Linked DNA regions of Macaca fascicularis. The protein of the gene in region 1 interacts with the protein of each later gene in a biochemical or structural test. Links are inferred from orthologs where the notes say so. Each region holds a gene or a part of one and is shown on either strand. Other genes may lie near its edges. The genes, in order: LRRK2, NEK1 and CHGB.

Region 1 (3,660 bases):
TTTGCTACTAAAATTTTCAACTTGCCCTAATCCTTCATTTTAAGCCACTTCATTTTTTCCTATAATTAAAAATTTAAATATGTGGAGGAAATTCTGTCAGGTAGCTATTACTTAAAACCTACTAAGGGCCAGGTGCGGAGGCTCACGCCTGTAATCCCAGCACTTTGAGAGGCCACGTCAGAAGGCTTGAGCCAAGGAGCTTGAGACCAGCCTGAGCAATATAGAGAGAGACCTGTCTTCACAAAAATGTTTTAAAAATTAGCTGGGTGTGGTGGCACATACCTGTAGTCCCAGCTACTTGGGAGGCTGAAGTGGGTGGATCACCTGATGCCGTGAGTTCTAGGCTGCAGTGATCGGTGATTGCGCCGTTGCACTCCAGCCAGGGTGACAGAGTGAGACCCTATCTCAAAAACAAATCAAAACCAAAAAAAAAAAAAAAAAACAAGAAAAGAAACGTACTAAGGATCCAGTATAGCCGTTCTTGCACTTAATAATCTTGGTACAACCTCTAAAACTATTTTTTGTAGTTTATTTTATTTTGCCTTAGACAATAGGCATGTCTATGTTCTTCAAAATTTAGAAATTATATATATTTATGTGTGTGTGTGTGTGTGTATATATATATATATATATTTTTTTTTTTTTTGGAAATGGAGTCTTGCTCTGTCCTCCAGGGTAGAGTGCAGTGGCGCAATCTCGGCTCACTGCAACCTCTGCCTCCTGGGTTCAAGTGATTCTCCTGCCTCAGCCTCCCGAGTAGCTGAGGTTACAGATGCCTGTAACCTTACCACCATGCCTGGCTAATTTTTGTGTTTTTAGTAGAGACGGGATTTCACCCTCTGCCATGCTGGTCTCTAACTACTGACCTCGTGATCCACCCGCCTCCGCCTCTCAAAGTGCTGGGATTACGGGCGTGAGCCACTATGCCCAGCCGAAATGTTATATTTTTTGTATGTCTTTCTGGTTTGATTTTTGGAGAAAGGTGTATCCTAAGGATATGGCTTGCTTTTGTTTCTTGGTAAGCATTTTAGGGTATCATTTTGTTTTATAACAATTATTTACAAGTGAGATAAGCATATATTCCACTAAGACTGAAGAGATTCATGTTTGACTCAGTATGTTCTATTAACATTCTTTAAAACACGTGAATATATGTCTTTCTTGTTTTCAGGTGGGTTGGTCACTTCTGTGCAAATTAATAGAAATCTGCCCGGGTACAATGCAAAGCTTAATGGGACCCCAGGATGTTGGAAATGATTGGGAAGTCCTTGGTGTTCACCAGTAAGTATGATAGATATGTAAAAACAAACTGCCTTGAGTATTTATCTATACACATAAAAACCTTCCCTTTGACACACTGAATTTGCAATCCAAGGCTACTCTTGTGAAATTCTTTGAAATACAGATATTTTTCCTTGAGTCAATGATTTACATTTATAGAGAGCTTTAAACTCAGAAGTTTGATTTAGAAAGCAAACATTTAAGGTAACATGTCAGGAGTTATTTTAATAATATAATCATATAATTATAAAACTGGTTAACTTGTAGATTTTTGATGAGTACTTTTGCATTCAAACCATGAAGATATTTTGCCCTTTAATAATAGAACTGATACAAACCACTAGTTCCTAAAAAAATGGGAACTGAGAAAAGTTAGTTCTGTACGTAGTAATTTGAAAGTTGATGTTCTGTCTTTAAATGGTACATTTATATATATTCATATATATACACAGTAAGTTTAAACTACGGCTTTCAAAAAGAGTAAGAAAGAGGAAATTACCTTTCAGCACATCTGCAGCCAAATCTTGATGACAATTTTACCAGCTATGTTTTTGCAGTTTGCAGCATAATGACTTCTTAAATGAGACTACTTCCTTAGCCACAATTAATTAAGAAAACCTTTTCTGAAGAAGAATGTGTTTTCAGGAAAATACATTATTTCTTGACAGTTAAAAAATATCTTCTCAGCTACTCGGGAGGCTGAGGCAGGAGAATCACTTGAACCTGGGAGGCGGAGGTTGCAGTGAGCCGAGATTGCAGCACTGCTGTCCAGCCTGGGTGACAGAGTGAGACTCTATCTCAAAAACAAACAAACAAACAAACAAACAAACAAACAAACCTTCTGTCATTAACTTTAAATCTTTTTTATAGTAATGTGACTTTTCTTTACCACGGAAAAGGAAATTGTGAATATATCTGGCTTACAATGGTATACAGTTTATGAAAATTTAATTTATGAAAAATTTTTAGGTGTTTATATTGGTGATCAGTATCAAGTAGTGCTGCAAATTTAGACAAATTAGAGCTATATGTTTGGCCATAAGTGAACATATCTGTGCTTATACATTTTCCCCTCTTTGACAAATGTGTTGCTCTTCTTGTTTTCAGTACATAAAGGGTGTGTTTGGAAAGAGCATATTTACAATTAATTGGAGTTCTCATCTTCAATCTAATCTTTGTAATTCTATGTTTCAGTTCTAAAGTATACAGCTTTTGATGAGGAATTACTCAGAATATACCAGTAATTAGCAATTGTAACTTTTAAGTGTCCCTTGGTTTGGTTGAGAATTTCCAAGATGTCCAAAGATGAGCCAGTCTATAACCTCAGGGAGTGTTTGGGAAACTCATCTAGTCATATTCCTGTTCAAACCAGCTGTTCAAATTAAATTACATAAATATTTATACAGGAAATTTGTTCACTCACTCACTTACTCATTCACTCACTTTGTTCATCCAGTCATTCATCTTCCATTCATCAAATGTTTTTTAAGCCCCTCCTCTAGGCCAGAAACAATGCAGTTGTGAAGAAGATAGACACACTGCTCTCTCCAGTGGAGTGTATTAGGTCACTCCCGGCAAAAATTGATTGCAAAACAGATTTCTGTTTTTTCAAGGCCTTTTCTCTCCAAAGACTTACCAGTTCTGAAGAAAAATTTCTTCCGTGGTGTCAAAGTCAGGAAGAGTGGGAATGGTACAGGGAGAGGTAGGGGCAGGGTGATTAGGAGGAAGACTGGCAGAGAATTGAAGACTGGCTTCATTCAGTTCCTCCAACTGCCAAATGGAGATTATGCAACGTTTCTTGAATACGTACAAAGCTCTAGATGTGGTCAGCTCAGTCTTTTCCCAACAATTCGCCAAACAATGCTGTGCAGGAATAGACTAGAGATTATATTTTGGGATTAATAATATAGAGATTAAAATCTCATGAATTTGAACTAAACATTATTGATATGTTAAGTTCACTTTTTTTTTTTTGTTTGTTTTTTGAGACAGAGTCTTGCTCTATTGCCAGGCTGGAGTGCAGTGGCCTGATCTCGGCTTACTGTAACCTCTGCCTCCCAGGTTCAAGTGATTCTCCTGCCTCAGTCTCCTGAGTAGCTGGGACTACAGGAGTGCACCACCATACCCAGCTAATTTTTGTATTTTTAGTAGAGACAGGGCTTCATCATGTTGGCCAGGATGGTCTCGATCTATTGACCTCATGATCCCCCCGCCTTGGCCTCCCAAAGTGCTGAGATTACAGGTGTGAGCCAGTGCTACCGGCCCACTTTTTAATATATTATTAATTTCTCTTTTAAAAACAGTAGCAATCAATAATTTAAATATTGAAATGAATTCTTAATTTATATACACAAACTAACATCTTTATATCTCTCTATA
Region 2 (3,660 bases), on another chromosome or scaffold:
TTTTTGCAATATTTTTCTAGAGAGGTCTCGCTATGTTGCCCAGGCTGGTTTCAAACTCCTGGCCTCAAGCAGTCCTCTTGCCTCAGCCTCCCAAAGGGCTAGGATTACAGGCGTGAGCCACTGCACCCAGCCTAAATTAGTCTTGTAATTGTATGTTAAGTTAAATGCTACTAGTGGGATGAGTCAAGAGATTAGACACTATTTTCTCATTCTAATTAGATGCCTAGATTTTCTATAGCTCCTACAAGTCAAATTATAGGAGTTTGTATATATAAGTACAAAATGAAGATATTTCTACATAAAAAGATTATTTACTCTTTCTCTTAATGGAAATTATATTGACAGTCTTGCACAATAGTGTTTATATTTTAGTTCTTCAGTACATATTTGATTTGAGTCTAAACTCTTAGAAAAGCCTTAATTAGCCCTTGTGTTCTATTAAGCATTGCCTTCCTGATAGATGAAATCCTCGGCTTAGGTTCACAATCTCTTTCAGAAGTCTTCAGACATCTAAAACATCAATTAACTCCTTTAGTCTACAAACTTTTCCATTTACATTCCATGTTAGAAGAAAGAAGCAAATCACAAAAGGCAAAAAAAATTTCTGAGTATGTTCCTTGGATATTACAGAAGTGGTCAAAGGCCTAGATTTCAGTGCTCTGTCATTTACTGACTATGTGGCCTTGACCAAGTCATTTAAACACTTTGGTTCATAGTTTTCATGTCTCTAAAGTGATTTTTTATGGATAAAATTTGAGTAATAGGATAAAACTGTTTAAAAAACGAAAGTTCTATATAAATGTAAGGTATTATTTATGTGACTTATTTCATTCCAGCATCTATAATCCCATGAAAACAGAATTAATATTCTGACCAATACTTTAGAAACAAGATTCTCCAGTGAAGAATTATGATGGTTGGTATAGGGTAGTTACACAGAAAATCTATTTATTATGTATTTTAGAACATTTTTAAGAATAAGCATCTAAAGATAAGATTTCTGGTGACCATTTTATTCACTGGGTCATCCTGTTAACATGAATATATAATTTCCTAAGTATTTCTGTTTCTAAAAGTTCAAATGCCCAATGGGCATTTATATGGAAAGCCTTTTGTATAGTGTCTAGCTATTAGCCACATGGATATTTTGAAAATTACAGAATTCCATAAAAGAGAAAATAATTTACTATTATTTGTTTTAGAAAAACTTCTATAGTCTGGCCTCTTAAAATATCAAAACATTGTTTCAGAATTTAAGCAATGAGTAACATTAATAGTTATGTGATTCTCTTTGGCAAGTTGGGATCATTTAAACAAATCATCTTCTGGCTTATGTATTCCAGAATATGTGTTGTGTTCATCGTCAACTTACTGGTGAAAAACAATGTAGGTTTTTTCCAGATTTTTTGTTATCTATTAGGATTTTTAAAGTAGAAGTGCCTACATATTGAGTAAAAGTAACATTTCAGCATGAGGTAGTTTTAGTTGTTTAACTTCGTAAATTTCAGTATGTTTGAAACTTTCAGTTAAACCTTTTAAATTTCAGTGTGTTTGAAGAAACTGACACAGATTTACAAGAGCTGCAGGCCTCAATGGAACAGTTACTTAGGGAACAACCTAGTGAAGAATACAGTGAAGAAGAAGAGTCAGTCTTAAAGAACAGCGATGTGGAGCCAACTGCAAATGGGACAGATGTGGCGGATGAAGATGACAATCCCAGCAGTGAAAGTGCCCTGAACGAAGAATGGCACTCAGGTGCATAATCAGAGTTTTGGACCTTTTTCTTTTTCAGTTTACAGATATTTCAAGTGGAATATAGTTTTCTAATCTCTGCTGTGGACCATTTCCAACTTTAAATACAACTGAAGCATGCCTCTGGGTCTCTCCCATTTTTCACTCTTTTTCTTTTCATACAAATATGTGATTTTCCTTTTTTTTTTTTGAGACTGAGTCTCGCTGTGTCTCCCAGGCTGGAGTGCAGTGGTGTGATCTCGGCTCACTGCAAGCTCCGCCTCCCGGGTTCACGCCATTCTCCCGCCTCAGCCTCCCAAGTAGCTGAGACTACAGGCGCCCGCCACCACGCCCGGCTAGTTTTTTGTATTTTTAGTAGAGACGGGGTTTCACCATGTTAGCCAGGATAGTCTCGATCTCCTGACCTCGTGATCCACCCGCCTCGGCCTCCCAAAGTGCTGGGATTATAGGCTTGAGCCACCGCGCCCGGCCAATTTTCCATTTTTTTATTAAATTTTTTTTCTTTACTATTATGTCAATGCTTTTTTGAAGCATTTTTATTCTAATCTCCATTTCTTGACTGATTTTTCCAGTAATAAAGATAATAACATTGTTTTCTTGTCATTCTATATTTTAGAAAGAGCTTCTGCATATATTAATCAGCAGGGTTAACACTGAAAGCAGTTTTTAAAGTACTAAAAACTCGTTTCATAAATTTGGAAATTTGCTCTTTCATAACATTACCCCTAAGATGCATAGAAAGTGTGTCTATTTCAGTAACTATATTATGTTAATTTAGGAAGAAAAGCTAATGTGAAAAGACTAAGTAATGTTTTTTTTCAAAGTATCTTGAGCATGTACATGACAAAACATGTTGGCCATTTATACTTTCCAGGTGCTTTCCTGAAATGTAATGATGTATGTCTTAGGTTGTCTACCTTCTGCAGGCTTTTCCATGGTATGGCCCACATTTATTACCAACTTTTGTAGTTAGGGTTAGCTGCTTCAAAGCAAAATATGGAGGTGTGCTTTTTCCACTTTTTTATTCATTTAAGTAACATCTCTAGGAGTGTTTTGATTCCATCCTGACTTATTTTTTATATCTATAAAGGAAAAGTAACATTCTTGTTTAGACAGATTTATACATAATTTTTACCAAATAAAGGACAAATATTAAAATGACAAAAACCGTTTATAATGAAAGTAGAAGTAGTCTACTTCAATGGCATTATTCATTTGTCATAGAATTTTAGTCTATTAGGGTAAGAGTTATCTTATTCAGTCTTTTTAAATCAAAATATCTATTTTAATTTTATTTTTTAGATAACAGTGATGGGGAAAATGCTAGTGAATGTGAATACGATAGTGTCTTTAACCATTTAGAGGAACTGAGACTTCATCTGGAGCAGGAAATGGGCTTTGAAAAATTCTTTGAGGTTTACGAGAAAATAAAGGTAAGTGAAAAGTCAATTAAAACACTTAAAATGTGCTCTGTTTGAAGGTTAGAGAAATGTTAATGATCTTTATTGGTCATTAGATTTATTATAAATAAAAAGGGAAGTCTACAATTAGAGAAAGTTATTCAAATACTAATTTATATTTGGGAATTTGGTATAGGCTATTCATGAAGATGAAGATGAAAATATTGAAATTTGTTCAAAAATAGTTCAAAATATTTTGGGAAATGAACATCAGCATCTTTATGCCAAGATTCTTCATTTAGTCATGGCAGATGGAGCCTACCAAGAAGGTAAGATTTCCTCACATGTCTGTATAATTTTCAATAAATGTGAGAAAAACAAGATGATACATGTAGATGACTCAGCTTACATCACATCCGTTTTGTGAAATCTACATGGGAACTATATTACTTTTAAGCAATAATAATATTAACTTTGTCATATACTTTTACTGATCTGTGATATACTT
Region 3 (2,371 bases), on another chromosome or scaffold:
GGAGACCTGCAGGACACTAAAGAAAACAGGGAGGAAGCGAGGTTTCAAGATAAACAATATGGCTCCCATCACACAGCTGAAAAGAGGAAGAGATTAGGGGAACTGTTTAACCCATACTACGACCCTCTCCAGTGGAAGAGCAGCCATTTTGAAAGAAGAGACAACATGGATGACAATTTTCTCGAGGGTGAAGAGGAAAATGAGCTGACCTTGAATGAGAAGAATTTCTTCCCAGAATACAACTATGACTGGTGGGAGAAAAAGCCCTTCTCGGAGGATGTGAACTGGGGGTATGAGAAGAGAAACCTCGCCAGGGTCCCCAAGCTGGACCTGAAAAGGCAGTATGACAGGGTGGCCCAACTGGACCAGCTCCTTCACTACAGGAAGAAGTCAGCCGAGTTTCCAGACTTTTATGATTCTGAGGAGCCGATAAGCACCCGCCAGGAGACAGAAAATGAAAAGGACAGGGCTGACCAGACAGTCCTGACAGAGGACGAGGTACAGTGTGGGGCTTCTGTTTAAAATTACTTACTTTGGTCAATGTTAGCACATTATGTTCAAGACTATCCGATATTAACGGGGAGAAATTGGTGGGAATTAATCACTATGAAAATGGTGACCTAGTAACAGAGTGGAGGCCACCTTGGGGGTCGGTTTCCACCTACCTTTAGCCATCGTCCACATCTTTGCCCACCTCACTCGGTCGCATTGCTTCTCAACCTTGTCCGCACACTGGGGTCACCTGGAGAGCATGAAAAATTACTGTTAGAGATTCTGTCTACTTAGTGCCTGGAGTGCTGCCTGATCATTAGAATATTTTAAAGCTTCCAGATGATTGCAGCGTTCAGCCAAGGTTGACAACTACTGTTCTGGTATCTTTCCCTTGGTCATCTGTCTGTTCATCACTCTCTCCCTGAGGTAGGGAGAATAGGTGATAGAGAAGTTTACTTGCTTTAGTTTGCTATCTTTATTATTTCATGCCCTACTGCCGTCAGAAATTTATATCTGGGAGAGGTAACACTGTTGGAGCTGTACCTACCCAAACAATGTTTTTTTCCTAATATTGATTAGGTAGGTTGTCCTTCTCAAAGTTGAATGTACATCGGGATCATGAGGGATTCCTAGCCCCCAGAGTTTCTCATTTAGTAGGTCGCAGGTGAGACCCCAAACTCTGCATTTCTGACAAGTTCCTGGCTGATGCCACCGGTCAGGGGACCACACTTTGAGAGTTACTGATGTAGGTTGACTAATGTAGCTTCCAACATGCCTAAAATTCCCCTTTCCATTCGTACTCCATCCAACTATAGCAAAATAAATTGGTTCGGGACCTCATGCCTCCACTTTTCTGTATTTTCCAGAAAAAAGAACTTGAAAACTTGGCTGCAATGGATTTGGAACTACAGAAGATAGCTGAGAAATTCAGCCAAAGGGGCTGACTGTCACTGGAGCAGAGGGCACTGTTAAGAAGCAGCCCTCACATGATCTGTTTTTCACCACTTCACTGAGAAGACACCATTTATCTATCCAAGGACAGAAAGTAGAACTTACTATTCGTTAAATGTTTGACACAATTGGAAATGTCTTTAATTTTTGCCAGAATGCTATTGAAAATGTTAATTGCATGACTTGTAGCATATTCTTTTCCGCAAAATAGACATATTAACATGCTTGTGACAATGACTGTGCTACTGTCTTTGGAAAAATGTTTGTCTCAGTTGCAAATAATAAAAGATTCACCTGAGACCAAAAGCTTCATTGTTCTCAGCTTCTTTTGGGCAAAGAGGGAGGAGTGTGACTTTTCAAATCTATTCTTTGAAGTAAATTGCAGAAGATGGCTCTAGGATTTGTTGGGTTTTGGATGCATAATAGGATACAAAAGCAAACCTTTTGAAGTAATGTGCAGGATATAAAGAGAAATAGATTAGAAAAAGATATCTACTCCCCTATGCTGAGAGAGATTACAGGGGCTTTAAGAACCTCTTTCAAAAACAATCATATGATATTACTTAAAAAATTCCTTTATGTAAAGAGCTCTAGAAGTAGCCAGCCGAAGTTCATTTTTCAGGGCTTAGAAGAAAGCTTGGATGAGGGGAAGAATTCCAGGGTGGAAGTGAAAACATCTGGCCTGTCCAGACAGATCTCTGGCCCCTCAGGTCTTGTCGGATTTCTACTCCTTAAGAAGATAGAGGCGGCTGGGCACGGTGGCTCACACCTGTAATCCCAGCACTACGGGAGGCTGAGGCAGGCAGATCACGAGGTCAGGAGTTTGAGACCAGCCTGGCTAACATGGTGAAACTCCGTCTCTAATAAAGATACAAAAAAAAAAAAAAAAAAAAAAAAGCCGGGCATGGTGGCGGTCCCAGCTACTTGG

The links.
Region 2: the proteins of LRRK2 (region 1) and NEK1 interact on a protein array, tested with the Homo sapiens proteins (2 studies listed by BioGRID and IntAct, with this or other methods). The link is inferred for Macaca fascicularis from reciprocal best matches to the Homo sapiens genes LRRK2 and NEK1.
Region 3: the proteins of LRRK2 (region 1) and CHGB interact on a protein array, tested with the Homo sapiens proteins (3 studies listed by BioGRID and IntAct, with this or other methods). The link is inferred for Macaca fascicularis from reciprocal best matches to the Homo sapiens genes LRRK2 and CHGB.

Annotation. Positions count from the first base shown.
Region 1 is NC_088385.1:46,716,632-46,720,291, forward strand, and holds part of LRRK2 (leucine-rich repeat serine/threonine-protein kinase 2), read left to right. Parts: intron 1-1,171; coding exon 1,172-1,281; intron 1,282-3,660. UniProt on the Homo sapiens protein: Serine/threonine-protein kinase which phosphorylates a broad range of proteins involved in multiple processes such as neuronal plasticity, innate immunity, autophagy, and vesicle trafficking.
Region 2 is NC_088379.1:174,218,310-174,221,969, reverse strand, and holds part of NEK1 (serine/threonine-protein kinase Nek1), read left to right. Parts: intron 1-1,546; coding exon 1,547-1,755; intron 1,756-3,054; coding exon 3,055-3,185; intron 3,186-3,348; coding exon 3,349-3,481; intron 3,482-3,660. UniProt on the Homo sapiens protein: Phosphorylates serines and threonines, but also appears to possess tyrosine kinase activity. Involved in DNA damage checkpoint control and for proper DNA damage repair.
Region 3 is NC_088384.1:81,397,866-81,400,236, reverse strand, and holds the end of CHGB (secretogranin-1), read left to right. Parts: coding exon 1-498; intron 499-1,358; coding exon 1,359-1,436; 3' UTR 1,437-1,749; downstream 1,750-2,371. UniProt on the Homo sapiens protein: Secretogranin-1 is a neuroendocrine secretory granule protein, which may be the precursor for other biologically active peptides.